Linked DNA regions of Stegostoma tigrinum. The protein of the gene in region 2 purifies or fractionates together with the protein of the main gene of each other region. This does not show direct contact. Links are inferred from orthologs where the notes say so. Each region holds a gene or a part of one and is shown on either strand. Other genes may lie near its edges.

The links.
Region 1: the proteins of pip4k2aa (region 2) and ube2h purify together in Homo sapiens (affinity purification with mass spectrometry; 3 studies listed by BioGRID and IntAct, with this or other methods). This does not show direct contact. The link is inferred for Stegostoma tigrinum from reciprocal best matches to the Homo sapiens genes PIP4K2A and UBE2H.

Annotation. Positions count from the first base shown.
Region 1 is NC_081378.1:16,350,698-16,366,660, forward strand, and holds the start of ube2h (ubiquitin-conjugating enzyme E2 H), read right to left. Parts: upstream 9,326-15,963; 5' UTR 9,234-9,325; coding exon 9,181-9,233; intron 1-9,180. UniProt on the Homo sapiens protein: Accepts ubiquitin from the E1 complex and catalyzes its covalent attachment to other proteins. E2 ubiquitin conjugating enzyme that transfers ubiquitin to MAEA, a core component of the CTLH E3 ubiquitin-protein ligase complex.
Region 2 is NC_081355.1:119,247,779-119,263,741, forward strand, and holds the start of pip4k2aa (phosphatidylinositol 5-phosphate 4-kinase type-2 alpha), read right to left. Parts: upstream 7,367-15,963; 5' UTR 7,071-7,366; coding exon 6,939-7,070; intron 1-6,938. UniProt on the Homo sapiens protein: Catalyzes the phosphorylation of phosphatidylinositol 5-phosphate (PtdIns5P) on the fourth hydroxyl of the myo-inositol ring, to form phosphatidylinositol 4,5-bisphosphate (PtdIns(4,5)P2). Has both ATP- and GTP-dependent kinase activities.

The DNA.
Region 1 (15,963 bases), on a different chromosome or scaffold from region 2:
CTACAAGGGTACATGCAATCTTAGATCTGGTCCTGGGTAATGAGACAGGTAAAATTAATGATCTCTTAGCTAGGGATCCTCTCAAAGAGTCATCAGAGTATGATCAAATTTCAGATACAAATGGAGGGTGAAATAGTTTCATACAAAACCATGGTTTTATGCTTAAACAAGGGAGACAGTGGGATGAGTTTGGAGTTAGCTAAGCTAGACTGGGAACACAAGTTGTATGGTGGAACAGTTGAGGAACAGTGCCAAACTTTTAAAGAGATTTTTAGTGCTCAAAAAAGTACATTCCAGTCAAAAACTAAAGATAGCAGGAGTAGGAAGAGCCAGCGATAACAGGAACTGCCAATGCTGGAGAATCCGAGATAACAAGGTGTAGAGCTGGATGAACACAGCAGGCCAAGCAGCATCAAAGAAGCAGGAAGGCTGACGTCGGCCTGCTACGTTCATCCAGCTCTACACCTTATCATATAGTAAGAGCCAGCCTTGGGTAACTACGGAAATAAAGGAAGATGTCCAAAAGCTCAGGCTTACAAAGTCACCAAGAGTTGTGGGAAACAAGAAGATTGGGAAAACTTTAAAGAGCAAAGAACAGTGAGGGAAGCAATAAAGAAAGGAAAGATAGATTATGGATACAAACTAGTACAGATAATAAAAACAGCTACGAAATGATTTTATCAATACGTAAAATGGAAAAGGGTGACTCAAGTGGATGTAGGTCCCTTGACGGATGAGATAGGGAAATTAACACTGGGTAATGCTGAAACGGCTGTGTCAGCCTTTGTGTCAGTTTTCACACAAAGACATGTCTAAAATGCCAAAGAACGCTGTTAAGGATACAATGGCAAGTGAAGACATCAATTCAATTTATTATCACTAAGGTGTAGTGGTGAGCAAAATAAAAAGGGTCTAAAGGTAGATAAGTCCCCTGGTCCTGATGGAATGCATCTCAGGGGTCGCAAAGAAATGGCAGAAGTTGTAGTGATGCGTCAGTGGTAATGTACCAAATTTCACTGGATTCTGGGCAGGTCCCTGCAGAGTGGAAGACATTGACTGTCACGCCGCTGTTTAAAAATAACGTAGGAAAAAGGCAGGCAACTGCAGGCCGGTTGGCTTAACATCTGTAGTCAGCAAAATGCTTGAAGCAATCATTGAAGGAAGAAACAGCAAGACATCTGGATGGAAAGGGTTCAACAGGCAGGCACAGCAATGATCAGTAAGGGAAGGTAGTGTTTGACAAACCTACTGGACTTCTTTGAGAATATAACAATCGCAGTGGATAGGGGGAACAGGTGGACGTTGTGTACTTGGATTGTCTAAAGACATTCGATGAGGTACTACATAAAAGACTCATCCATAAGTTAAGAGCTGCAGGGAATGTTTTAGCATGGATAGAGGCCTGGTTAACCAACAGAAGGCAGAGAATTGGGAAAAATGCATGTTTCTCTGACTGGAGATAGTAAGAACTGCAGATGCTGGAGAATCTGAGATACCAAGATGTAGAGCTGGATGAACACAGGCCAAGCAGCATCAGAAGAGCAGGAAGGCTGGCGTTTCGGGCTTAGACCCTTCTTCAGAAAAAAGAAGGGTCTTTTTTCTGAAGAAGAGTCTAGGCCCGAAACGTCAGCCTTCCTACTCAGCCTGTCCAACTTTACACCTTTCTCTGACTGGAAATCAGTAGTAAGCAGAGTACCGCAGGGGTTAGTATTAGGCCCGCAACTATTCAGCTAGTCCAGAAACCTGGAAAACTTAACTGCTATTTGAATACCATCATGGGATATTTTACATCTGAAAAAACAGAGCGGCCTTCAGTTTCTTTCAAAAGGCAACACACCCCTTCAATACTGCAATAAAACTAAAAAGTTACAGATTACATACTTATTACCACAAAATAAGGTTTGACCCAGAGCTAATATAACACTGAGACAAGGCTAATGCAAGAACAAAACTTGAATGGCTTGTACTGTCTCCAAACTCTGACTGTATGCCCAACATCAGCTGCCTTTGATAGGCTGAATCACTGCTGCTTTCTGTCAAAGTCTGACCAGTGTCGTTGTCACACATTTACTTCAACCTTGCACTTGTGTTAAAACTTGAAAACAGCTCATTTTTCTCACCAGGCAGAGAATTTACTTGTTCTTCGCTTCCCCATGCTTTACTATCCTTCATTCAAATCCAATATATAAAAAACTATGCCAAGATCACAGCTTCTCATCAGCACATTGCTGTTCAAACAAATTAGTTGATACCAAAGCTTCAATCAACACAATGTTTGAACTGCTACACTATGGAATTAAGATATACACTAAACTGGTAACTTGTAAAGATCCTATCTTTTGTTTTTGTTTTTCGATTGTAGTTTGAAATGGGAAAAACAACTGATTTAAAAAGCCAAGGATTACTGAAGGATTGCTGCATATTTTAGAAGTAGCCTGACAGTCATTATGAGTCTTGCTTATATTGCTGAGGGTTGAAGATGTGGGGATGATTTGCAGATGAGCTGAACCCAAGAGATATGTACGACTGGAGCACTGGCTCGCAATTTGTCACTGACTGATAACTGGTCACTAATCCACGGAATAATGATAAAAACCTTCAAAAGGAGGGTCAGTGGATCCAAAACACTTGCTCTGCTTTCTCTTCAGATGCTGCTAGGGCTGATGAAGTTTCTCCAGTTATTTACATTATCTTTTCTCTGCCTACTAAAAACTGTTATTTGGCTCTCAAGCAGCCAAAAAACTTCAGCATGTGAATGTTTAGGAGAAGCCACTGGATTTCCTCAAGGGCAAAAGCTGGCTCTTTTCTCTGCAGTAATATCCACTTTAAGCATAAAGCCAGTTTATTGCTCCCTCAGGCATTGCTGTAAGCTGTGGCTCTTAACCAATAGCCTGGGAAACTAAGCATGTACCAGCCACCCTGTCCCAACTCCAAGTGAAAGCATCTGGGAGTGAATCAAGGAATAGCATGCTATGTCAAGTTTAAAAAAAATGAAAAGGGACCATTGAATTTCCTTCTGCCAACAGCAGCTGTATTTTTGTTTCTGACTATATGCATTGAGAGGGCGAATCTATTTTTGTAATAAGTAGCAATTCTTGTTAGGTACAGAAAAGTTTTGAGCCGTCAACCTGGGTTGATGAGTTAGATAAATTGGGGAATTCTGCGCACTTTTAAAAGCTTTAACTTTTGTAAGAACTCCAGAAAAAACAGGACTTCATTTCCAGTGTGCTACTCTAGCAGTGAGGCACAACAACCTATAATTCATAGAAAGACAAATCACCAGATGAACACTATACAAAAGCAGTTCAATTCACTCAATTATTCTCACCTAGCATGTTTACCAATGACATAGACATTAAGATTCTTTAAAGGCAAACAAACCTCATGATGGAGCATTGAATCAACAATGGTGCACGTCCTTGAAAAATCTTTATTTTCAACTTTTTAAATGTTTTTCAATGATTCAGCTAGTTAAGACAAGATGATGAGGTATACTGGCCAAAACTAACTCAGGTTCACCACTGGTCGACCAGTGATCATGTAACAAATAGGAACTTAAAGCTTAGTAGTATAAAGCTAAACACTGCTAAAAGGCGACATGTCAAAGCTTTTCATCTTGCACTCAGAATGACAAGAAACAGACTTCAATGGAGGTACAGCATTTCATACAACATGAGAAAAGGGTGTTATTTGGTTGGGCCATCACTCACCAAGAGTTGCTGCAAGAATTACCCGTCAATCTTCATTCTCAGACAGGCAAGTAGATTCTGACTGGTCCTGGGGATACAAATTCCTTTGATCTCCATTAAAAATAGGGTTCAGTGAATGTGTGTATCTGGCTTTTATCACGTGTAAATACATTACACAGCAAACCTTACCATTATCTTAATTAGCAGGTTAACTATTAGCACAGTCCATTGCAAATATTACTTATGATGACATGCATAAATTTTGAGACTTGCGAGCATAGGCTGGTTAAGAGCAGTTGTGCTACCCACTGCAAATAGTCAACAGACATGCTGTTTAATGTGGTTTTCCAGTCGTTGCAATGTACAGCTTACATACCCAGCAACATGCCAGCTCAGAAATGCACACTACTCATCTGCATAGTTGGCTAAACTTTTTGGGCTTGAAGGCAGCGAAGAAAAGCTATTGTGGATTTACTGCAGGAGCAGTGCAAGACCATGAGCTTCACCTGTTGTTCAAATTTTTGAGACATCTTCCCCTTTGAGAACAAGGGGTATCACTTGGGACCAAAGGTGGTAGACACAGCCCAACCTTTGGGCTGTTCAATATTGAAGTAATGATTTGATTGGGGTATCCACAATCATAGGGTAGGTCACATATAGCCTACCCCAGCAAACATACATGGTGAGCCAAAGTTAGGAGCCTGGTCATATGAATGACCTTGCACATGAAACTCTGCAAATCCAAACATTTACTGATCAGTGAACCAAGACTTTGATATATAGTAGTCAAGTACTCATTGTCACACATCACAATTAATACACTGAGAAAAGGATGTTTATTTCATGCCCATTGAAGAGGTCTCTCATGGTAACATCAAAAACGTTAGCAGGGGCTGGGCCTACAGATGATTCCACAGCAACACATCTACAGGAGCATATACGACGTAATTTAAACCGAACTCATCGGTTTTTGTTGTTATTTATTGAATTTGATAAACTCAGATTCAGACACTAAATGACATATTTAGATTACCATGACAGTGGCATAGTGCAAGTGTCAATAGCTTGTTTGAATGGCATGCAGGTAAACAAACCAGGATAGTCAAACAAGCACAAACACACGACCCATGCCAATGATGATTCAGTTAGCCATCCTCTCCACGCTTATGAAATTGTGTCCTTTTGTTCAAATCTGTTTCTTGCATTCTAGCTCTGATGTGTAGAATTCAAAAAGCTTCAATTTGACTCCTAGCTGTGTTTAACATTAAAAGCCTTAAGGTAAGGGGGTAAAGCCCACCGCTTTTATCCTGATTACAATTCAGAGATCCTTACACCACATACAGATGCTTTACGAACAGCAGACTGGACTCAACTATAACCTAAAATTCAATACCTGGATTTACAAATGATAAATACTTGAGTGGCAAAGTACCAAAGAGTGAACTGAACATAAGACTTGACCCCAAGTGAAAGAGGTTATAATCAGCATTAGCTGAGGGGGGTGGGGGAGAGGAATCCAAATTTTATCAATATCCATAGAAGTAAAACCACTGATTTACTTCAAAATTAACTGAATTATCAAATATTATTGTTCATGTCCCTCAAACATTTCATAATAAATACAAGATTAAACACATGCTACCCGCACATTATGGACGAACAAACATACTTAAACCACATTTTCAACTTTGTGCCAATAAATTTTCTATACACTTTGCACTGTCTATTCTCATTAGTACCACACAAGACAAGAATTTCACTCTATTATTAAATACTCCAAAAGCTTTAGTCACAAGTTATAAAAGTTTGGAGAAGCAATTTATTATGGTGCTCAGTTTTCTCCCTAAGAAGTCAATAAGGTACACTAAGAAAATCTCTCTCACCCATCACATTTTATGGAAATCCTTATAAGGGTATGCACCAGCCTACAACTTGAAGTTCTGTAAAAGCCAGTGTACATAAAAGGTGTTGTACCAATACTGAGGGAGCTTAAATTCATGAATCACAATGGAATTCAATTTGCTTTTAACCTCTGTGCACACCAGCAGAAACAACAATTCATACATATCACACAGTCTGCTATTCCATGTTAAAAGCCCAATAGTCCCAAAGTTTGGTTGTTTTGCTACCTCAGTTAGGTAGCAGAGTAACTTTCTCAGAGTCACCTTTAGCAAACAGCACTGTATGATAACAAAAGTACCGATTATTCTTTGCCACAACCAGTTCCGTTCTCCTCCCATAAAGCATACAAAGCATTCCACAGCTAGATAAAATGTGCATTTGATCCTTTTTAGACCATCAGCTTGGACAAATTTTATACATTAAACTTGTTGTGAACCCACTGCCTATCCAGTCACGAAGCTTGGCACCTGATCCTTATGGGAGTAGTACAAATGCAGCAAAATGATTGAGGCAGTTCCTGGCCAGGTGACATTGCAAGAGTGAATTCAAGTGAGCTTAAACTGCTCTTTGATCCACACGATACAACTGCACTTATGGAAATTCACCACTTCTTTTAATTGTTTGGGTCCTCTGGTCATCAAATCAAAGGATTGTGCAGCACAATGATAGCTTCTGTATGTTTGGGCCAAAGAGTCCAGATTCAAGTCTCGCTTCAAATTGAGACATTCCTGGAGGATTGGTATAACATGTTCAAACAGTGATGAAAACAAAACTCCAGTCTACATTCAATACCTTCTCCTGTTTTTGTTCTCCCTTTATGCCATCGATGATAGACCTAGCTATCATAATCCATATAATAATTTTGCAGTCATCAAATTTCTCAGTCAGCACTTGCTTGGCACCCTACTTGAAAAATATCTTGACAGCATTTTAATCAGATGGATGTGCCTTCAAAAAAGGTTAATATTATCCCATTCAGATTCCTTCCACTGACTGGAAACAAGTATAGACACCAATAATCAGACATCATGACTGAGGCACAAGGATGATCATAGTGAAATCAATTATGAACTAGTGCATTAAAGGTAATATCAAGGAAGGGCATAAAGGTACAGATTACAGCAAAGACTCTGGGCCCTGACAACATCCTGGCTATAGTACAGCAGACTTATACCGGGTGCAGCTAGTTCTGGAGTTCATCTGCAAAACGGGATTGACAACCATGTGGAAAATTGTTCCCGTATGTCCAGCCTTTTGCAATCAGGTCCTATAGTATACATTAGCAATTCAATTAACACACTTCAATTAGTAAAATCTAGTGTCAGGAACTAATGTTAACAATGGCGACCGTAAAACTATCAATTATCATAAAAACTCATTTGCTTCACTAACATCCTTTACCTAAGCAAGTCTGCCATCCTCTCTCACTGTGGCATACACGGGACCCCAGACGCCCAGCTAACATGCCTGACAATCCACTGATTTCACAGATGGCCAATAAATACTGGACTTACGAGTGATGCCTTTGCCCCATTAAGGAATAAATGAAAGAATCACATATTTAACTCAATTTTGGCATAAGACCTTAGTTGTGATTTTAGCAAATAAGGTAATGGAAATCTCTGCGGTATGCAGTCACCTCTGACCAAACTTGCCATCAGTGCTGGAAAGAGTGAAATGGCAGACTTAGCCACCTTATAAACATGGTTGTAACCATTTCTGAAGCAAGCTGAAGTAACAGGATAGGCCTTTTTTGCTACTAAGACATAAACATAAGGGGGAAAAATCTCTAGCACTCCCCAGCAGCTACTGATAGATTTTATTTCCAGATATCTACCAGTATTCTCTATCACCTGGGCTACAACAGCAAAAAAATCTTAAATCAAACTACCAATGTACATAATGGGATCATGGCAAAATACACGAAAAATGTTTCCACTGACATAATAAATGGGGCCAACTAATCCTTAAATTATAAATAACTAGGATACAAGATTACTGTGCTTTCTTGTATGAAAATACTTTAATCAGAAAAGTGAACACTAGGAACACAACAGTTCAAAAAGTGTAAAAGATGATAAACAAAATCTCCAGTTAATGACCTTCTAAAATACAAATAGTCTGCAATAACTTTTTCTTAAAGAAAGCTAATTCAAATGATTACATCATTCCCTTGTTCTGAATAAAGTTCTGACAAATTTCTGGTACAGTTAGAAGCGACGGGAAGCTGAACTGCTGTTGATTAGTAATCGGCCGTTTACTGTGTTTGCCCCCACCCAACTAAAGCGCCGACGTCTAAGTAGCCTCTCTTTTGTAGTGTCAGCTGGTGAACGTGTTTGTGTTTTAAGTAAGCTCCTCCTCCAACTCAATTCCGGCTAGTAACAGTACAGCCAATCCGCTCTTTGCAACTAGCATTAGGACCAACAGTTGCTGTCCAACGAGTTCCAGCAGGTAGCACCTTCAAAAAACACAACCCAAAATGGGGTTGGGGGGGGGTGGGGAGATATTAAATATTAACGTATGTGACACAGCCATTTATATAAAAATTTCAATTCCACCATAATAAATTTTAAGCAACCAAAAAATGCCTTTACGAGCCCGAGGAAACCTTAAAAAAAGCAAAATATTCACCAGTCCAAAAATAAAAACAAGACCTCTCAACAACACCGTAAAAATTCAAGACAAAAGTAATACTTCTATCAGCTAATATGGCAAAAACTGTAAGGATGCATTAAAAACGTCACTCAATTTACAAGACAGTCAACATCCGCATTCAAATTCCTTCAGTTATTTTTCCTCTTCGCAACCACCATTCCCTCCCGTCTATCTCTCCTTCCTTTCTCTTCCCCACCACCGCCATAAACCTAGACAGATCAACAGGCCCAAAAGTACCCTGGAAATACACGTCAGACAAATCGCAACCTCCTTTGTAGTTGAAAACACAGAAACAAGGTTTGATGCGATGTGACGCTGCCTATTAATCATAAATCATCTGCTGAAACGTGAAATCTGGCTTTCAAACGTAGGACATACGGCACAAAAAAAAGGCTAGCTTGTTTTTTTCACAAAGACAAGGCCTCATAAGTATCAAGTAAAGAACTATAAACTCGCCATAAATTTAGAATAAAAGCACTACAAATTCAAAATTTCGTAACATACAAAAAAACCAACATAACGTTTTCCCTGAAAATATATTCAACAGATAGAGGAACAAAACTTCAACCAAAAAAAGGAAGCTTTGACATCCGTCACCATGTGAATGTTGTCATTTTTCTTTGATGGAAACCACTGTATATCTCAAAGACCTAACAACCCCTAAAAAAACCCCAATCATAACCATCGCCCGTGTACACACTTAGGGGCATGCTTTACGGATAAAAAAATACCGACTAATGGGCTAAGCTTGTGACATTATATAAAATGTGTACTTTTTTAAAAATATCATCCTTCAACGCAAACAAACGGCGTACTTGATACAAATAACAGGCGAGACAAAGAGTGGGGGGGGGGAAGATGTGGAACATAGGGAGGAAAAAGCGTTAACTGCTGAAGCCCCTCCGACTGGGAGACTCGCTGCTCTGAAGGATACAGTTTGACCACATCGGTGTCCATTCGCCTCTTCCCAGGACTCGGGGAGGACATGTTGGTGCTGCTGAGGAGGTGGCGGCTTTAATTCCTCTTCTCGGGCCTGTCTTCCTCCGAACCACCACCACCACCACCTCCTCCTCCTCCACCCCACTCTTCCCCCTGCTCCCCCCCCCCCAAACCCCTCCGCCGCGTACACACAGAAAAATAACAAAATTCTTTTCAGGTGCAAACGGACAGACGGAACCCCCGGCCCGGGGGGGGTATGGGGGGGGAGAAAAAAGGGGGTAGCACACAAAAAGAATGATAGATATCGAGGTGTATACTCGGACGGCAACGAAAACAAGACGAGGGAAGGGGGGGACAAACTGTGCGTGTGTTTGTGGGTCTGAGGAGATTCGTTCCCCCCCTCTCTTCACTCGGGTGACGCCACTTTGTCCTCTTCAGGCTCTGAGGTGAGTCTCCGCCGGTCCCTGGGGCTCACTTTAATGATCGCTTGTTTAATTCAGCCAGTTCTTTTTCCCACCCCCCTTGCCTCGCAGTTTTCCCTCTCCCTCGACCTCCTCCTTCTCGTTCCTCCGCCTCTCCTTTCTACCTTCTCTCTCTCTCTCTGCTCCTGAACCTTCTCTTCAACCCTCGTCCGTGACGTTGACGTTGTTGTTTGTCGCCGACGCCAGACGCGCCCCCCACCCCCCGCGATACTCCGCGGCCTTCTGGGAATTGTAGTCTTTACCCGCGACAGTTGGAAGTTAAACATTTCAGTGACAACCTTCCTCGAAGCTTTTTTTGATATATACCTGGGTTAGTTCATCATTTAATTGTCTTGCCATTGTGCGTGATGAAATTTAACGAACTTTATGAAAAACCGACAAAAAATCCGGTCATAATGGAAATTTGAGGATAGTGCGCATGCGTTTGCGCCGTCCGGCATGACGGGAGCTGTAGTTCTCCTGAAGCAGCAAGAAATACTTCCGAAGCAACGTAGGGCTCAGAGTCATTAAAGGACGTGTTGATAAAATGTAACTTAGAACCAGGGTATTCTCAGTTAACGGAGCATTGTTTTTATTAAATCCTCGAAAACATTTAACAATGAAAATGTTGAAGGAAAACAAAACATCTGCTTATACATGGAGGGTAGTAGGAACTGTTGATGCTGGAGAATCTGAGATAACAAAGTGCAGAGCTGGATGAACACAGCAGGCCAAGCAGCATCAGAGGAGCAGGAAAGCTGACGTTTCGGGCCTGGACCCTTCTTAAATTCTGAAAGAAGGGTCCAGGCCCGAAACGTCAGCTTTCCTGCTCTACACCTTGTTATCATGTTTATACACAGGCTTTTTCAGCACATATCAAAGTGCTTTACAACCAATGAAGTGCAGTAACTGCTATAATGTGGGACCATAGAAGCCAGTTTGCACCTAACAATGTCTGAGACATCAATGGCCCCCGTGATGAAAGGCTAACTCAGTTTTAACTCTGAAAAGTTAACTCAGTCTCTCTCAAAAGACGTAACTTGAGTTTTTAACAGCTTTTCAGTACTTGTTTCGGATTTTCAGTAGCTGCATGATTTTGCTGTAGTAATCTGTTTTCATGATGCTTGATTAAATTACGTATTATTAGACAGGAGACTAGGATAATGTCTAAGTGGACAAATGATGGTAGGTATAATGCAGTAAATGTGAGGCAAAAATGTGGGGAAACTCAGCATGCCAGCAGCATCTCTGGAGAGAAAACAGGGTTGACATTTGGTGACCCTTAATCAGAACTGAAAGTTGTTAGGGAAAGGTGATTTTTCTGCTAATTACAGGGCATGGGCGTTGGAAAAAGTGAGCAGATAAGTAGAGATGGATCCAACAGAGAAAGAGAAAAAAAATTGGATGGACAAAGGGATCGTAGGTAGTAAGCCAGGGAAGAAGAAAAGCTGATAATGGAGGCAATGCATAGTTGAAAATAGGCTGTCTGTGCTGAAACCAGCCCCTGTCATGACAGGGCTTAGTACACAAAGGTGGGTAAGGACATAGGAGAGGGCGTTCAGGCTCTAGAATTGTTGAACTCAAAATTGAGTCCTGAAGGCTGCAGGGATCCCAAGCAGAAGATGAAAAGTTGTTTTTCCAGCTTGTGCTGAGTCTCGCTGAAGCAGTGCAGCTAGCTCTAGACAGAAATGTCAGCCAAGGAACATAGTCATGCGTTGAAATGGCAGGTGACAGGAAGCTTGAAGTCATTTTTATAGACGTTCCACAAAGCCATCACCCAGTATACATTTCGCCTCCCCAGTGTAGTGGAAACAACATTGTGAGCAGCAAATACAGTGGACTAGTTTGAGTGAATAGCTGATGAATCACTGTCTCATCTAGAAGGTATCTCTGGAGAGTTGGTTAGTGAGAAGGGAGGAAGTAAGCAGGAAAGCATTGCACCTGTTGCAGTTGCATGGGACAGTGCCATGAGGATGTAGGAAGGTGTCAGGAATGGAGAATTAGTGGATTAAGGTGTCCTGGGAGAATGGTCCCTGCCAAATGTTGACAAGGTAGGGGAGGGGAATATGTGTCTGGTGGTGGCATCCCGTTGGTAGGGCCGTGTCAACTAAGATAGTGGTAGAGGAAAAAGGTGGACATGTTTCTCCCTGATGGAAGCTGGCATCATCGGAACAGATGTGACAGAGATGGAGAAACTGGGAAAAAGGAACAGTGTCCTTACAGGAAGCAGGGTGAGGGGATATATAGAGGTGGATGAATACAGCAGGCCAAGGAGCATCTTAGGAGCAGGAAAGCTGTCGTTTCGGGCCTAGTGAAGGACCCTTCACTAGGCCCGAAAAGTCAGCTTTCCTGCTCCTAAGATGCTGCTTGGCCTGCTGTGTTCATCCGGCTCTACACCTTGTTATCTCGGGATCTCCAGCATTGCAGTTCCTATTATCTCTGAGAGGATATATAGTCCAGTTAATTATGGGAGTCGGTGAAGGTGAGAGCAGGGTGAAAAGTTAAAGTGAAATAGGTAAACCTTTCCAATTCCAATTGAGAGAGGAAAGAAGTTCTGATAACATCATTGAAGTATGGAGAAAGAGTTAAGGGGTAGGACTGGAGCAAGGAATGTTCCACATACCACACAAAGAGACAGGCATAACAGAAGACCAAGCAGGTATCCATGACCATTCCTTTGAGCTTAAGTAAGCGAGAGGAGTTAAAGGAGAAGTTGTTCAAAGTAAGCCAGGCAGTGGAGGGTGGTGGTAGATGGGGACAGACCAGGCCTTCTTTCCAGGTAAAAGTAAGAAAGCCCTAAGACCATCCTGATGGGGATGGATGTGTAAAGAGATTGTGCATCCTTGGTATGGGGGAGATGGCTGGTGCCTGCAAACTGGAAATTCTGCAACTGACAAATATCAGAAGAGTGCAATGTTAAGCTGTCAACTTTGGCAGGAACAATAGAAACAGATTATTTCAACAAATAAAGACTACAGAATGCTTTGGTCCCATTCCCATTCTCATTCAGATGTAACCTGTTCAACTTATACAGGCAACACCTCCCCAGAAATGATCCCAATGCCTAACTATTCTAAAACCCTCTTTCCTGCACCAAGTCTCCAGTCACACATTCATCTGCTATAGGTAATAGTAGGGAAATACTATGGGAATAAGTAATCCAGACCTAGCTTTACAGCAAGAAAATGTTTATGTAAATAGTCATCTCATTAATTTCAAGGCAGACGTTGGGGAAAATGCCACTATATTATCAGATAGTGAACCATGATTGAACAACAATATCAATAACTGACAAAAGTCCAGGATATGGTCTGGAGATACAGCATCTAAAATGATCAGTTTACAATTAGCAACTGTCTAACATAAGGGATACATAATTACTTGGAATACTGCGTCCAGTTCTGGGCGCCCTATTATAGGAAAGATGTGGATGCTTTGGAGAGGGTTCAGAGGAGGTTTACCAGGATGCTGCCTGGACTGGAGGGCTTATCTTATGAAGAGAGGTTGACTGAGCTTGGTCTCTTTTCATTGGAGAAAAGGAGGAGGAGAGGGGACCTAATTGGGGTATACAAGATAATGAGAGGCATAGATAGAGTTGATAGCCAGAGACTATTTCCCAGGGCAGAAATGGCTAGCACGAGGGGTCATAGTTTTAAGCTGGTTGGTGGAAAGTATAGAGGGGATGTCAGAGGCAGGTTCTTTACGCAGAGAGTTGTGAGAGCATGGAATGCGTTGCCAGCAGCAGTTGTGGAAGCAAGGTCATTGGGGTCATTTAAGAGACTGCTGGACATGTATATGGTCACAGAAATTTGAGGGTGCATACATGAGGATCAATGGTCGGCACAACATTGTGGGCTGAAGGGCCTGTTCTGTGCTGTACTGTTCTATGTTCTATGTTCTATAATGTGGAACGCATCATGGCTCAACAGTTAGTACAGCTGACTCACAGCACTGGGGACCCAGGTTTGATTCCAGACTCGGGTGACTCTCTGTGTGGAGTTCGGCCTGTATCCACTTGGTGCTCTCGTTTCCTCCCACAGTCCAAAGATGTGCAGTGTAGGTGGATTGGCCATAATAGATTGTCCGTAGTGTCCAGGGATGTGCAGGTTAAGTGGAGTAGCCATGGTAGATATGGACTTACAGGAATAAGGTAGGGTGCTTGGCCTGTGCAAGATGCTGTTCAGATGATCGGTGCAGACTCAGTGGGCCGAATAGCCTGTTTCTACACTGTAGGGATTCTATGATTCTAAAATAGGAGAAAACGTACACATACTTCAAAATCTAGAATTCTCATTCTTAAATATGAATGAATGATTATACTCAGTTTTCTTTAACTGGCAGAGGAAATTAAACTAGTGAAAGGCAAGAAATAACTAGTATAGAAAAGCCAGTGATGGAGCAACTGGCCAAAGAACAGTCAGTCAAGGAACGGCCCATTGAGGAATGACAAACAAGGGCCATCCAAAAGAGAATTTCATAGGTTTCATTCTAAACCCCAAACAGAAGAGAGAATCCATGTCAGTTAGTGGCTCCCCAGTGAGCTATCCTTTGTCTTTTTTTTAATGTTTAAGAATAACTTCAACATATTTTTGATTGAAAAAGAAGCCAGGGTTTAATGGACTGCAGGTGGGAACATGGAGGGAAATCTGCAATCAGATCAAACACAATCTTATTAAATGGTGGAACCAGTGTGGTGGATGAAATGGCCTACTTTTGATCATAAATCTTACATTTCATTGGGGAAATGTGACAAGTTGAAGTTTTTGCAAGACCATACAAAGAAACAATATTAATAAAGAAAAGTAGGTAGTTAAATTTGCATGTGCACTTTATAATTTTGGTTACAAAATTATTGTTGTTTATCTAAATATTAGATGGTCAGAATTCTTCCATTCCTCAGGCACTATGTAAGACAATAAAACAAGCACTATGAATAATAGAGTGTTTACTCTGTTCTATCAACTTACATATTTTATTTTCTTTGGTTATTGTGGTACTTAAGAGCTTAGTAGGGCTTAACTGACTGTTCAAGAATTTGAAGCTTTGTTTAAATATTTCTTTGGTACGATTCACTGCAGTCCTAGTGAATTATTGTATAAATATTCTGATCCTTCCTGATGCTGTCTCAAAGAGGTAATAAACCAGAATACATTCTTGTTTTGTATTGAAATGTCCAAGAATACATTCTTGTTGAATATATTCTTGGACATTTCAATACGTGACCTACTGCAATCAATTGCCCCATCCAGCCAAACAGCATTCCTGCCACCACCTTCAATACAAGTAAAAAACTAAATGGTTCAGAGCTTTTTAAAATGTTATATTCCTGTATATACATGGTCTTTCAGTCAATTCTTCACATTTTATAAAAGCTGAACAAAAGCTTTTAAAAGCTGTCTGCCTAATGGTCACCTGACCTGTGGCGGAAACCAATCCCCTGTTGCAAGGGGAAACAAAAGGAACATTCCAGACCTATGTGGAATTAATTCCTTTCCTGAAACCGATTCAAAAGGGTCATTTCTAAATTGTAGTTGTCATTCAAGTACAAAAGCATTCATTGTCTCAACTCTCTCAAGTTGTCAAACAAAACAGGATGAATGGAAACAACAAGAGGACTTTGCTATGTTTATTGTTTGCTTTAAAATCAGGAGAGCTGTTTGCCAGACACAGAATTTCACTAGAAGGTATCTAAACTAGCTGTAAGTTATCAGCAATATTTTGAAAGGAAGAGATTTCTGCGAAAATCAAGCTATTCCACCTTTGACTTAAGCTGAGAATTGACCCTCCAAAGACTTTGCAAGAAATCTTACAACTTACTGAGATTCCCTCACTTTACCAAACTTACATTACAATTTTAAATGATCACATCCATCTAAGAAACTGCAGGCCAGTCACACTGCCAGATAATCATAAGTAGCAACTGTATTAGTTTACCTGTATCTAACCTTTGTGTGCATAACGTAATGTTTAAAATGTGAGGCAAGCATAGATAATAATAACTTTTTTAATGTTGGGCTCATCAGGAAAATTCGCAAGAATAGCAATGCAAAGGAAAAACAACATTTATATTGTAGGAAAAGACAGTGCTGATGGGTTGGCTAGTGTCTATGGAAAACCTACTTTTTGTTAGTTAATTTAAGCACTCGATTATCCTATATGGTCTGTAACCTGAAATGATGCCTTATCTGGACCTACGCTATCTGTTCAATGTGAAAGCTTGTTGTCGATATCGGGTGCTTTGAAGCCATCCTTTGGGATAATGACCACCCTGGTCAGATTACTTATTGCAATTTATCATGCAAATTCTGAAAGAGCCT
Region 2 (15,963 bases):
ATGGCATTTAGTTTGTGTAGAGAAGCACTCCTTATTTTGGTACCACATTCAACAGCTGCAACAGAATCTGGAATCAGATCTCTAAGCACTTTTTGTACGATTATACACTTCAAACTAGCTATTATCCTACTTACAGTATTGTGAATATATTTTCAAAAAGGGCTTGCTTATTAAAAAAGAGAAGCAATGAATGCCTTAGATCTCAAAATATTTTCAGTTTCACTGAAAACAATTTTTGAAAATGAGCATTTCAAAATATGATACAGGAAACTTTTCATTCAAGTTCAAGTTCTTTACTCACAAATCAATGTAGATTTCTCCTGAAAATCTGTACTTGCTTATTTTACAAATACATCTGTGTATGTAAAGTCAACACATGGTCACACTTGAGAAAATACATCCAATTATGTTCAGCATTGTGCAGGACAGGCTACAGTTCAAGACTCTGCTAAAATTAATTTACATTGAACATCTTAAATCTGTGTCAATGACTCAGTACAATCATGGAGTGTGATGATAATCATCTTTGTCTCCCCTTCTGTTAAAATATATTTCTTGATGAACTCAAAGCCAGTGACCTTGGGAATTTTTTCAGGTGAAAATATGTTGATCAAAAATATGTATGTGTCCAGAGCTCTGCTAAACCATTAAAAATACTGAATATTACTTTAAACAACATACACTAAACCATTTAGTATGTTTATTGGTATATACAAGGCAATGACAGTCATAAATTTGTACAGCACAGAGACAGACCCTTCAGTCCAACTTGAACAGATATCCTAAAATCATCTAGCCCCATTTGCCAGCATTTGATCAATATCCCTCTAAACCATTCCTATTCATGTGCCCATCTAGATGCCTTTTAAATGCTGTAATTGTACCAGCCACAACCTAGTAGCTTGAGCAGCTTATTCCATACATGCACACACACCTGTTCCCCCCCGCCCCCCAACCCCACCAGCACCAGATCCCTCTTTCCTTAAACCCATGCTCTCCAGTTTTGGACTCCCCTACCCTAGGATTCACCCTATCCATGCCCCTCATGAGTTTAGAATTAAGAATTAGGTTTTATTGTCATATGTACTCAAGTACAGGAGTACAGCGAAAGTTTATAATGATGCTTCTCATGGCACGATCCTACATACAAAGTACCTAGGCACAAATCTTAAATACAAAAAGAGGAAAAAAAGAAGAAATAAGTTGCATTAACTTCCAGTGATTCATAGTATAAGTTAGAAATAAGACACAGTTAAAAGCATAAATATTACAATCAGATAAACCGATTACAGATAAACATTATATTCAGAAGATTAGCATGGGCTCTTCCATACATGGTCTGACCAGGCTCACAAGCTGCTGACCACCTGCACTGATGATAGTCCAACAAACATCCCCACACCACACCATGCCTCCAGCCTGCTCTGCTCCGGCTCTCAGCCAGTCTTTGGCACTCAATGCCTCCAACCCGCTCTGCTCCAGTTCTTGGTCACCGCGCACCATTCCAGGCCTCCAGCTTGCTTCGTTTTGGCCATCAGCCACTCCAGATTTTATAAATCTCTATAATATCACCCCTCAACCTCTGATGCTCAAGGGAAAATTGCCCTAGCCTATTCAGCCACTTTTTGTGGCTCAAACCCTCCAACCCCAGTAACATCCTTGTAAGTCTTTTCTGCACCCTTTCAAGTTTAACAACATCTTTCCTAATAGCAAGGAGACCACAACTGAACACTATTCCAAAAGTGGCCTCATGAATAACCTGTACAGCTGCAACATGACATCCCAACTTCAATATGCAATGCAATAATCGATAAAGGCGTAGTACATTAAACGTTACTCCTACAGAAGACTTGTAAAAACGTGCTTCCTAGAATCAGCACAAAAATGAGTGAAATTTGAAGGACCTTCACTCTTCAACCAACGTCACTGGCAGAATCTTGTAATTTTGACCTGGGACTGGGCTCAATTTGTGAACAGGTCTTGATCTGGATGAAGTCAGTCTTAAGTGTAAGGGATCATTTAAAACAGGTAATTTATTTATAATTAAAATATCCAATCTTTTCTATTGGATGCACTAATTTTGCCCAATTAAATTGATATGGTGAGTGAAACATTAAATTGATAAACTCACATCCTGAAACATTAATTCCTTCTATCCAATGTTTAAGACTTAAGACCATATAAAGCAAACTCTGAAGACCTCTTTAAAGAGGTTGGAAAAATTCAAAGATAATGGGAACTGCAGACGCTAGAGAATCCGAGATAACAAAGTGATGAGCTGGATGAACACAGCAGGCCAAGCAGCATCAGAGGAGCACAAAAGCTGACATTTTGGGCCTAGACACTTCATCCGAAAAGGGGGAGGGGGAGAGAGTTCTGAAATAAATAGGGAGAGGGGGGAGGCCGATCGAAGATGGCTAGAGGAGAAGATAGGTGGAGAGGAGACAGACAGGTTAAAGAGGCGGGGATGGAGCCATTAAAGGGGAGTGTAGGTGGGGAGGTAGGGAGGGGATAGGTCAGTCCGGGGAGGACAGACAGGTCAAGGGGGTGGGATGAGGTTAGTAGGAAAGAAGTTGGGGTGTGGCTTGAGGTGGGAGGAGGGGATAGGTGGGAGGAGGGGATAGGTGAGAGGAAGAACAGGTTGGGGAAGCAGAGACGAGCTGGGCTGGTTTTGGGATGCAGTGGGGGAAGGGGGAATTTGAAGCTTGTGAAGTCCACATTGATACCATTAGGCTGCAGGGTTCCCAAGCGGACTATGAGTTGCTGTTCCTGCAATCTTCGGGTGGCATCATTGTGGCACTGCAGGAGGCCGAGGATGGACATGTTGTCTAAGGAATGGGAGGGGAGTTGAAATGGTTCGTGACTGGGAAGTGCAAGCGGTCCCCAAGCCTCTGCTTGTTTTCTCCAATGTAGAGGAGGCCACAATGGGTACAACGGATGCAGCATGCCACACTGGCAGATGTGTAGGTGAACATCGGCTTGATGTGGAAAGTCTTCTTGGAGTCTGGGATGGGGGTGAGGGAGGACGTGTAGCACTTCCTGCGGTTGCAGGGAAAAGTGCCGGGTGTGGTTGGGTTGGAGGGGAGTGTGGAGAGGACAAGGGAGGCACAGAGAGAATGGTCCCTCTGGAGAGCAGACAAGGGTGGGGATGGAAAAATGTCTTGGGTGGTGGAGTTGGATTGTAGATGGCGGAAGTGTCGGACGGTGATGCAGCGGATCAGGAGGTTGGTGGGGTGATAAGTGAGGAGTAGGGGGATTCTCTTTAGGCGGTAATTGCGGGGACGGGGTGTGAGGGATGAGTTGCGGGAAATGTGGGAGACACGGTCAAGGGCGTTCTCGACCACTGTGGGGGGAATGTTGTGGTCTTTGAAAAACGAGGACATCCGAGATGTACGGGAGTGGAATGCCTCATCCTGCGAGCAGATGCAGCGGAGGCGAAGGAATTGAGAATAGGGAATGGTATTTTTGCAGGAAGATGGGTGGGAGGAGGTGTATTCTAGGTAGCTGTGGGAGTTGGTGGGCTTGAAATGGATATCGATTTCTAGGTGGTTGCCCGAGATGGAGACAGAGAGCTCCAGGAAGGTGAGGGAGGTGTTAGAGATGGTCCAGGTGAACTTGAGGTTGGGGTGGAAGGTGTTGGTGAAGTGGATGAACTATTCCAGCTCCTCGTGGGAGCATGAGGCGGTGCCGATACAGTCATCAGTGTAATAGAGGAAGAGGCGGGGTTTGGGGCCAGTGTAGGTACAGAAGAGGGATTGTTCATGTTTATTAAAAATATGTTAAAATATTTAAATATTTTTTCTCAAGCCATGTGTTAACTCCTGATCAAAAGACAGGCAATGTAATCTATTCCCAAATCTTTTCCAGTGCTGCTCTATAATTCAATAACACAAGTGCCACCTAGGCCAAATCTATTCATTAGCACCTTACAGCACTATGTGCAAGCATTCTTATAGCCATTGCATTTTTGTTTCATAATAATATTAGATACTCAAATAAAATGACAAGCAGCAATTTAGTTAAAAAAAAATCAAAATTCCTGCCAACTGGTCTACATATGGTTGATTTACCAGTTAAGTCAATTGTTACTTGTTATGCATGAATCTCCAATTCTGCATTCTTGTTTATTTATATCATTTGTTTTCAGTATGTAAAACAAAATTAGATACCATTTTAAAACATGAATTTCTATTCAGAACAAATGAAAAGTATGAGAATCTTAAGTGAAAGAGGTTGCAGTTAAATATGAACAGTTTTAAAATACATAAAAAAAGGCCAGACATAATAACACCATAACAATTCTATCCAATTTTGCATTAAGACTGCCTTTTTGCAAACATTTTTGCAACATTGACACATTTATAAATAGTATCTAAAAAGTTGTCACCATAAGCCTGAGCTTCTGAGTAGCAAAACTACGTAGAAATATCAGCACATGTAGAAGGTCATTTGCCCCAATTTCCCAGCATCATGTTAACTACATAAGAGATATTTTACTCCAATCCTGTTCCTCTGCACCATTACTTCAGTACTATGATGAAAATAAATGAAGGTCAACGTCTCTGTCTTTCCCTAAAACTCTGTCTATCTCAGCCTTGAACATACTTAACAACCCCAGCCTCAATAGCCCTCTGCAGTAAAGACCAAAGCAGAGACTACAAAAGTATGGATATCTAGTCCAAAGAGAAGGCCCCCAGTTACTTCAGCATAGCAAACCAAACCAAACCTACCACTCAATTTTAGAAGTCATCCTTGTCTGTCACTAGAGAATCTCCAGTTCTTTTTAAAATATCAATTGCTTTTGATGCCTATTCCTTGCAATGCAGAATCACAGGGTCCTGCAATTGCCAATCTTTATGTCTTAAGCCTTCTCCCATTTGTCCAATGAAAGTCCCATATGCGTTCATAAAGTTTGAAAGAAGGATTCCTAGCAAAGTCCACAATTCATTTCTAACACTGTAAGGCCAAGAAGCTTGCATTACAGAATTAATCAGTGTTTCACTCAGATTACTGAAAACCACTGCATGACTGAATTTGCTGAATATACCCTAAATTGAAGTATTGTAAAAAAAGACTAATTCACAAAATGTTTGGCACATAGTTACATCCAAAAAAAATGTACAGAAGATGAAAAGCAGTTTTATTTTGAAAATTCTCCTTCAGAACTCATACATTAGGCCATCCCGTCCCTTTGTCCCAAAAGAAAGCAAGATCTCACAGTTGCACAGGTACTACCATTACCAACTGATGATACTAAAGCAATACATGAAAGCCTAACAACAAATTCCTAAAACTGTTACAATTAATTTCATAGTTAAGATGGAGAACTCAATTTTTTTAATGTGTAAAAGTGAAAAAATGACAGTTCCAAAAGGAAGGGAATCACAGTCCAATAACCATGGTGTACTGAAACAAACCATAGCACATTGAAATTAATATCCTATTGTTACTAGTCAAAACAGCCATATTTCTCTATCACAAAACTCACCTCGGGTTCAAATTTCAAAATTAAACAGGTTTAACAATTTAACTTTATGGGAACCATTAACAAGTGATAATTTGTAGCACTTAATGTAGATCTTTCCCCCAATCCTGCAACGTGCAGTGAGAATGAGCCAGTGAGATGGACCATAGAATGCATATGTTCATCCAGGGCCTGAACCAAGACCATGTTAGTTTCAGTTACTGTTTCAATCTCCAAAGTAAAGATTGGAACACTTTATTGATTATATATACACATACTAAGAGTTACTCAGTCACACAGCAGTTAAGATGCATTTATGTATTGACATAAGCAACTGACATTCAAGCCACTCTTAAAAGAGAAATCTACCTAAACTAGTTACCACTTTTCTTCCTCTAGATGGAGGAAGCACCTTTCATCTTTTGAATGATTTGGTTATGATAAATTAGTTATAATGGTGCAGACATAGATTGTGTGTTGACACACGAATTAACAGCCTGCTCTGGACTGCCACATTTTCAAAACCTTGGCCTTCAGTACTTCGTTTCCGTAAAACTCTGCTTTGAAAATAAGCATAGAGGTGATGTTGTACATCCACAAGTTCTGACAGCAGAACATTGAGGATCGATGAAATAGCATGTCACCCTGACTGCCTACAATATCAAGTGCTGACATGCAAAACTGGAGGTCAGAACACCAGCCTAAACCATAACAATAATACGTACGCAAAAGGTACAACAGCCAGTGCATTTGCTTAGCTGATCAAAAAATATGAATGATGCATTTTTGGGGGGGCGGGGGGGGGGAAGGGTACTATGTGTTAGCTCTTACAGGAAACAAGAATCAACGCAGTTGTCATTTGCCAAACTGCTGCACAATTTTTTAAAAGCGCAGGTTTCCGCCCCGCCCCCTTCACTTTGGGCTTTCCTTTCAGGAATCACATTGGACTCAGGATCTTGGTGTCAATTGGTCAACAGAGCTGTCAGTCGTAATTACCTCACAACTCGACAGCAAGTTGACATTAAGGGGTTTCCAGGCCGTCGCCTTTGGTCTTAAAAAAACCGCTAGGAGTCACATGAACAGGGTGCAGGCCCTCGGCCAAATACCTCGGCTCACTCCCATCATAGACACATAATATGAAGCACGTTTACTTAAAGCTAACTGTGGCTTTTATCTGTCAAATGCAACGCTCTTAAAAGGACTTGTCATTTCATAGACTCACCTTAAACGAAATGCTGCAGGGTCATTCCTATTTATCACATCTTCTCCGTAACATCATAATGCACATGCACGGCATAGATTTTTAAATCTCATCAAATCCCATGTCTATTAGCTTAGGTGAAATGAAATGGAGGGAATATCCAGGCGCAAAGATCAAGTAACCTGTCCGAGGAATATCCAGCTAATGTGATTTCCTGCAGAAGTTACACACAGCAGTTACCGCATTTCATGACGTTTTTTAAAACAGACTTACCGAGTGATTGACTCCCCACATAAGGACGCTAAGCAATGGATCACTAGCTCGAAACAGCTTTACTTTCTGAGCCACAAAATGTTTCTTCTTGGTTTTCGTTTTGCTGGCGAATGTTGTACTGTTCGCTGCCATCTTTCTCCCTGTCTCGCGTTTTCCTTTTATTCACCAAATTATTTTTTATCTTTGTAATTGTTGAAATGGGAATGTTTACAATTTAAAAACAAAACTTAAGACGTCTTCTTCCTTCCCCTCATTGAAAACAAAGAGTTAGGACGGTTATGATCAGGAATTGTTTTGGGGTGGCGGTGGTGGTAGTAGTAGCTCACACTGGTTACTATATATTCTTCAATGTCCTGTCGCTTCCGGACCTTGATGAGTGTATATGAGAACTGCGAGGAGGCGAGGCTCCAGCTACAAGCCGCACACTGCAACGCAGCCTGGAGACCTAGGGGCTAGGCGGGGAAACAAAAGGCATGTGATTGACAGCATTAGAAACCAAACACAATGAGACTCCAGCTTTGCAATGTTCTAAATAGGGCGGTACCTGAAAACATGCGACCAATCGCAGGATTGCACGAGACGATTTGATTCCCGCATGCATCTGAGAGAATAAAAGCCATCAAGTTGGGTTGTGGAGTGAGTGGGCGTAATGTGGTATTTTAGAAGCATCTGAAAAATGCTTGAAACTTTATATCTTTCCGTTATGTGTACCAAGTAAATAAGATAATCCGAGAAGCCAGGGCTGGACAAAGTGTACATCTTGCTAGGGACGGAGATCTACCAAAATAGTCGTGTGGAGAAACTTGTTTTCTGAAATGAATGTGGTAGAATTCTGAAATATGTAATGGTTGAATCGATAAAATCAGAATTATCTCTGATGAAGAATATTAATTTTGTACATTATTTATTGTTAGCGATATATTTACAATGTTTTGTATAGGAAATAACGCCGCTGTCCGGTAAATGGCATGAATTACGTTTCTTCTCCCGAAGGAAGTAGGATAACGACGAGGATTGATCATAGTACGGTATCTCCAAATGTTTAGGTTTTATCACTGCGCTTTGAATTAATATACCTCAGTTGAATCAGGTAACTCCTGTTGGAGGGTTTGCTAAGTGTTTCATGTTTTATCGGTGCCACAAGCATTGCAATCACTCGCAATGATGTACCATCTGTAACGTAATAAAGATGCCAGAAGACGGTACCCAGGGTCGTCAAGAGGCAAAGCCTAACAGTTCTGTAACTTGGGAAAAAGTATAACGCTGCAAGATTAACCCCAAAATAAATCTTGCATAAATGTACCAATCGTAAACACGAGCACCCACCACACGTGCCCTCTATCGACAATTCCCAGTTTTCTGTCCCTCCTTTTATTGGTGATGGTTTAGTTTTGATTCTATGAATTTTGACCTTTTAAGTCTTTACAAATCAAACACATCTGATTCCGGATATTCATTTTGGAAGTTAGAGCAACTAGAATATTTGTCATTTAACCAGGGATCTTTTGACAAGTGGCAAAGGATTCGTGACTGGGTTGAGTGCAAATAATTTCAATGGAAAGCATGAAAAATGTAATTGGTGGCACAAAAAACGAAATATGACCGACAACAAAAGGAAATTCTTGCAGGATGTTGAATTAAAATAATTTTAAAAATACAATTGCATTTATTAGCACTCAGTTACTTAATTTCCAGAAGCAGGGATTTAGTGTTCCAAAACAGTTATTCGATTATTGGACGCTCGGTTGGATTCCTACGAATTCCGTTGCTTCCTGAGACAGATATTAAGTAGAAGTATAGAAGCATCATACTATATAGTGTCAAACATAGATTGGATCATATGAGGCAAAGAGCTGTTCAAAGTACAGCCTTATTCTGATAATGGTGGAAACTAAGATGGACTCAGAGCCGAACAGATAAATTGAATCATATTTTAGAATGGAACCTTGGGGCTATTTGACATTGGCATGTCAGGAACATTTGGGATCAGTTTTGCTAGTTTCTAACAGTGCCTGTTGGTGGAGTTACTGGCAGTTCCATTTTGTTGTGAAGCAGTGACGAGTGGATTTGAAAAACAAAGTAAAGACGTACATATAGTGTTCAAAATCAGACGCTAATTTCAGTGCAGTGTGGAACTTTGGCATGATATCGTGGATAACAGATATCTGTATTGACGAGTAACGTTTGCCTCTGAGGTAGGATTTTGAGGATTAAAATTTCACTCCAGGAGTCTTGAGTATATAATTTACTTTGCCTGACACTTGACCTAAGGAATCCTGAACTATTGATATTGTTGTAATTTAACAGAGAGATCATATCAAAGTGGATGTAGATGATTATGTGCCTCAATTCAAAGAGAAGGGCAGTTTCCCCGATCGTTCTGGCGATGACATGTCTCTCACTAGTACAAATTATCTAGTCAGTATCTAACCGCTATTTATAGGCACTTGTGTGTTTAAAGAGCAAAGAACAGTACAGCACAGGAATAGGCCCTTCGGACCATCGCAACTGTGCTGACATGTGACGCCTTTATAAACTGAAACGCTTTTTGCCTCTACGTGATCCCTATTACTCTACTGCCTGTTCCTTCGTGTATCGGCCGAGATATCTCTTAAACATTGCTATTATATTTACCTCTATCACTCCCTCTGGCAGTGCACTTATCACCCTCTGTGTAAGAAACCTGCCCCTCATCTTTAAACTTTCACCCTTCTACCTTAAGCTTATGTTCCGTAGTAATTGACAATTCTAAATAAAAACTGAAAGAGCAATGGAAGTTGTAAATCAGAAACAAAAGAGAAATTGCTGGAAAAGTCCAGCAGGTCTGGCAGCATTTGTGAAGACAAGTCAGAGTTAACGTTTCGGGTCAAGTGACCCAACCTTAGAACTAATGGTAGTTAGGAAAATGTCAGTATAAACGAGAAGATAGGTTGGACGGATATTTTTACCCTGGCAAAAAATACTCAGACTAACCATTATATCCATACCTCTCATAATTTGGTAAATTTCTATCAGGTCATCCCTCATCCTTCAATGTTCAAGCAAAAACAAACCAAGTTATCCAATCTCTCCTCATAGCTAATACTGTCCTAAGGCAACATCCAGGTGCATTATTTCTGTACCCTCTCCAAAGCCTTCACATCATTCTGGTAATATGGCAACAGAATATTCTAAATGCGGCCTAAATAAAATTTGATACCACACAACAACAATTTTTATACTCTATGCCCTGACCAATGAAGGCAAGCATGCTATATGCCTTCTTGTCTAGCTTATCTACATGTGTTGCCACTTCCAGGAAATGGTGGACCATCCTGTCTAAATCTAGATCCATCTAAATGTTGATGCCCCTGTGGATTCTAACATGTACTGTATATTTCCTCCTTCATTAGATCTTTCAAATTGCATTGCCTTGCATCTGTTCAGATGACACTCCAACTACCACTTCTCTGCCCAAGTCTCCAGCTTTTCGATATCATGTTGTATCCTCTGGCAATCGTCTTCACTACCCACAGCTCCCCCAATCATTGTGTCATTCACAAACACATTCAGCTCCAAAGTATTTATATATATATCACAAACAACAGGGATCCCAGCACTGATCCCTGTGAAATACCACTGGTCACAGCTCTCCAGTCAGAAAAGCACCCTTCCCCACTAATCTGTATTCTATGACTAAACAAGTTCTGTATCCTTTTTACCAACTCACGTGGACTTCACCTTTTGTATCAGCCTGCCATAAGGGATCTTGTCATGCTGAATCATATGCCTGTATGTGCATGGACAGAATGGACATTTTTCTAGTTTAAATGTGAAAGAACAACATGACATTTGGACAATTTACTTTGAACCCAGATGATCACTTTATTGCTTTTGAAAACACAGCAAACACACTTAAAGGTCTATAAAACTCAACTAATTTATTCAGGACTTAATTGAATAATACATGCTTTTAACTACTAGAGTATCTCAGTCACTGTCTTTCACTACCCTGGGTTCTTGAATTAACCCCAAATATTATTTCCCAGGAGACTTAGCAGCCAGCTAGACTGGAAGTCTTCTCAATGCCTTCACCACACCTCTAGAATCCTGCTCAAACTAAGGGGTTTCCTGGGCTACTATTTATATAGTTCAGACCTGCCAAGTTGTCATTCCAATTTTCTTATTTGGAATTGCTTGTGAAACTTGTCCAATCTTAAATGATTTTACTGTAAGTATTTAGCAATGGTTGAATTCCTTTGATTTCTGCAAATCATTTTGACTTTTATGGTCTCAACCATATTGGTCTTCACAGCAGCTGGAATGCCGTTCTGTTCATTCTTCCTAACTGCAGCTTGAATTTTGGGCATGGTAACCTATTTACCCTAGAAAACCACTTTCTACAAAGTCTTCTGTCCAGCTTGCAGTTAACCTGTTCTAGTCCACTGTAAAATCTTATATCAATTCCCATATCTTCGGCCTTATCCAACATCTCCCCCACTTTTGATCCAAAGATTTATCTGAGAATCATCTGGGTTTGCTAATCCTCCAGATCACCTCTAGACAATGGTGAATATTGCCTCCTTAGAGTGATTTAATCTCAGCAAAACATTACCTCTTTTGTGTTATTTGGTGATACAATTTAAATAGTTGCACTTGTAATAAACGTTACCAATCATTTTACAATACCTTACTTATTTTCCTTTTGTTCCACAGTAACTACATTGTTATACGCATTCCACATCTTACAAAAGAAGCTTAATATCAATACAAATCATGATGAGTGAGTTGAAAGGAATGCTATAAACTAGTGTATCTCTGTAATTCTTACCTTAATAAGCAGTCATACAAGCTATGTTTTGGCATCTGATACCAATCCCTGTTATTAGTCTCTTCCATTTCTTAACTTTCCATGTTAACAAGCACCATAAGATTATTACAATAACATGTATAACAAATTGAATTATAACAATCACTTGAGATATAATCCTGATCCGCCGACGAGCCTGAGTGTTTGCCCCCAATTCCAAATATTACGCCAAAATACTTGGAGCCTGTAAAACCCTATCTGCCTCTTCTGTATGACTGTTGATCTCCTTCATGTGCATAGTCTGTTTATGGATATCTTCCTTTACCTCAAGAATGATCTTCACCCAGTCTGCAATGAATTGTGGAATAGATGGAAGTTCAGTAGCTATGAACCACCATAGGTCCTCATCTGTATCATTTGGATGGACAGATAGAGACACAAGCAGTTCCTCACCGGATTCTGTCTTAAAGAGGACTTGATGACCAAATGGTCAAGTCAGAGGAATTAACGCTAAAGTCAGGGTGCGCCATGTTCATTCCTTTTGGTATCCTGAGGCTATTGTGGCAATATAGTTGGTATCTCAGACTTGGTTGGTGAGAGTGAGGCTTCTGACATGGCACAGGAGTGTCTTCTCCCCCACCCATGTCTTCAGTTGTTCATCCGGCACCCAGTCTTGTACTCTGTGGGTGTCTAATTGCAACATATGTGGGCCAGCCATAGACAGAAGCCTGCTAGCATGTGTAGAACAAATTGCTGTCTTCTTATTGTATGCCATGACCTGAGCCTTTCTGTCTATGATCTGTTGAGTAATATACTGGAGGGGTCCCAACATGTTGGTGGTGTTCAGAATCACCTGTTTTGCTTGCCATCCTATATTACCACTCTTTTCCTGATTCTGATATCTCTGTTCTGTATTTATCCTTATCTTTTACCAGAGGCCATGATGTGGAGGTGACAGTGTTGGACCGGGGTGGACAAAGTCAGAAGTCACACAATACGAGGTTATAGTCCAACAGGTTTATTTGAAATCACAAGCTTTTGAAGCACTGTTACTTTGTCAGGTGACGTTTTTCTGGAGGGACTATAACTGATAATCCACTTCCGCTATGCTCAGAGTGTTAACAGTCACCACCCATGATGCATGGCCAGCTTCCAATAATTCTATCAATCCCTTTCCCCTCCTTTTCTGTTCCAGTGCAGATTCACTATGACTGAGTTCTCTCTGGAGCAAATGATCAAAGAGTTGCTAGGTATTCACACCAAGCCAGCATCTATACGTCTGGCATGTTAAACACTACTTGTACATGCTTATACTCTGTTTCTTCTGAAACAAATCCTAATCCCCTACTATTTCTCTGCAGTTCAATACGCCATGGTTCTGGGGTAGTTCCTAAGGTTGTAGTGATGGTACTTACTGAGCTAGCTCTGTACACTATGAAAGACTCTGGTCCATGGCATTAGCTGCACTCATCCACCTCAGGTAGGAATGACTCTATATCCGAAGAGTCAGGCTTGCAGCTTGCACACTGCTCTAATGCCCTCGCTGGGGCTGTCACATTTAACAGAGGAGATGGGCGCCACTCATCAAGTAAGAAACCGCAGCCTACTGCTACTTCAGACCAGGTAAGGAATGCCATTGCCATTCTGGAGCCTGTATCTTTAGTTGTAACCTGCACAAGGGCTCAGTGGCCAAATTACTCATCTGCAGGCTGACTTGTATTCTGTCCCAACATGGGGGATTACCATGACATTTGTTGGAATGCTTAAGGTTTTACAGCCAAGTGCAATCATCACCATCCCCTTTCCCTCATAATACAAACCTGTGGCCTGATCATCACGGGATCATCCCTTCATATGATGCACCACCATCATTGCTCAAGAACTCAAGCCTGACGATATTGACATCACTTCCCTGAGTGAAACCTAGTGAACAGAGAAAAGACAGCTCAGACAGAAAGGTGGTGGCGACACCTTTTCCTGGAAATGGAAGGCTGAAGAAGAGCACCATATCCATGGAGTTGGCTTCGCCATAATGAAAGAACTGGTGGACCAACTCGAAGACTTCCCCCGTGAAATAATTCAATGCCTCATGACACTCCGACTCACCCTTGCTCAGAACCAGTATGTTACAGTATTCAGAGCATAAGCACCAAACACTCGATGAGGCAGCTGAGAACAAGGTGGAGTTCTACTCCAGCCTTGACCAATCTCTCTCATGGGTCCCTGCAATGGACAAACTAATTGTCCTCAGTGACTTCAACACCAGAGTCAGAAAAAGTGCAGCCCTTTGGGGCAATGTAATTGGGAAAGAGGGAGTAGGAAAGCAAAATTCCAACAGCACCCTTCCCCTGACCAAATGCTGTGAACACAAGCTCCTCATCACCACTGCGCTATTCCACCAAAGGTACCAATATATGACAACATGGCAGCACCTGCAACTCCAAACACTGGCACCTCATTGACTACGTCATTGTCAGGGATCAGAAACAGATTAAAATCTGGGCAGACCATCACATAGTCTGAGCCAAGATCGCCATAAATATGGCGACCCACAGTGGAGACAACAGAAGCAGTACTGCAAGAAGTTGAATATTAAGACACTCAAAAGAACAGCCTCATACAATTAATTCCTCTCCACAAACCTAGCTACCCTCGGCAACACTGAGTCATAGGATCCCAACAACTTCTGGTCTGTCCTCAAGACTGCCATGATCAATGGTTGCATAAATTTGGTTGGTCACCCAAACAGGAAACATAGAGACTGGTTTGATGAGAATGATCAGGAGATCCAAGAACTGATAAGTCAGAAACGTATGGTATTTCTCAGTACAAAACAGCAACTGCACACAGAAGAGAAAAGGCAGACCTACAGGTGATGACTGAATGCTGAAATTCAACATTAAACCTGCAACATGAGGAAGCGGTAACAAAGTGTGGGGCTGGATGAACACAGCAGGCCAAGCTGTATCTTGGGAGCATAAAAGCTGACGTTTCGGGCCTAGGCCCTTCATCAGAGAAGGGGATGGAGAGAGGATTCTGGAATAAATACGGAGAGAGGGGGAGGCGGACTGAAGATTGATAGAGGAGAAGATAGGTGTAAAGGAGAGTATGGGTGGGGAGATAGGGAGGGGATAGGTCAGTCCAGGGAGGAGGACAGGTCAAGGGGGCAGGATGAGGTTAGTAGGTAGGAAATGGAGGTGCAGCTTGAGGTGGGAGGAGGGGATAGTGCAAGGAAGAACAGGTTAGGCAGGCAGGGACGAGCTGGGCTGGTTTTGGGATGCAGTGGGAGGAGGGGAGATTTTGAAGCTGGTGAAATCCACATTGATACCACGAGGCTACAGGGTTCCCAAGCGAAATATGAGTTGCTGTTCCTGCAACCTACAGGTAGCATCATTATGGCACTGCAGGAGGCCCAGGATGGACATATCGTCGAAGGAATGGGATGGGGAGTTGAAATGGTTCGCGACTGGGAGGTGCAGTTGTTTATTGCAAACTGAGCGGAGGTGTTCTGCAAAGCGATCCCCAAGGCTCTGCTTGGTTTCCCCAATATAGAGGAAGCCACACCGAGTACAGCAGATGCAGTATACCACATTGGCGGATCCAGGGGGCGGTAGGAAGATGCCAATGTAACTCTGTCCACCACCGATGGAACTTCGCCCACTGCCAACGGAAACCCGCTCGCCACTGACGTAACTCCGTCCACCATCAATGCCAGCGGCACTCCGCCCACCATCGACACAGCCCCGTCCAGAGCCAACGACGACATCGTTCCGCCCACAACCTCCACAGCCAGCAACCCCAGAGGAGACAGCCCCACTGAGCCTTGCCGAATTTTCACCATCCCCCCAGACCTCCCCCTGACAGAAGACGAACGGTCAGTGCTCAGCAAGGGGCTTACCTTTGCCCCCCTCCACCCATATATCAACGAATACCAGTCACATCTGGACATGGAGCAGTTTTTCCGCCACCTCCACCTCCACGCTTACTTCTTTAAACGGGAGCCTAACCCTCCCTCCTCTGACCGCTTCACCCACCTCCAACACAATTCCTCCTCCTGGACACCATCCCCAGGCCTCCCACCCTCCCTCGACCTCTTCATCTCCAACTGCACATCTTTGTAGGTTACGTGGAACAGTCCCTCTTCCGCACCTACACAGGCCCAAAACCCCACCTCTTTGTCCATTACATTGGTGACTGTATCGGCGCAGCCCCATGCTCCCAAGAGGAGCTCGAACA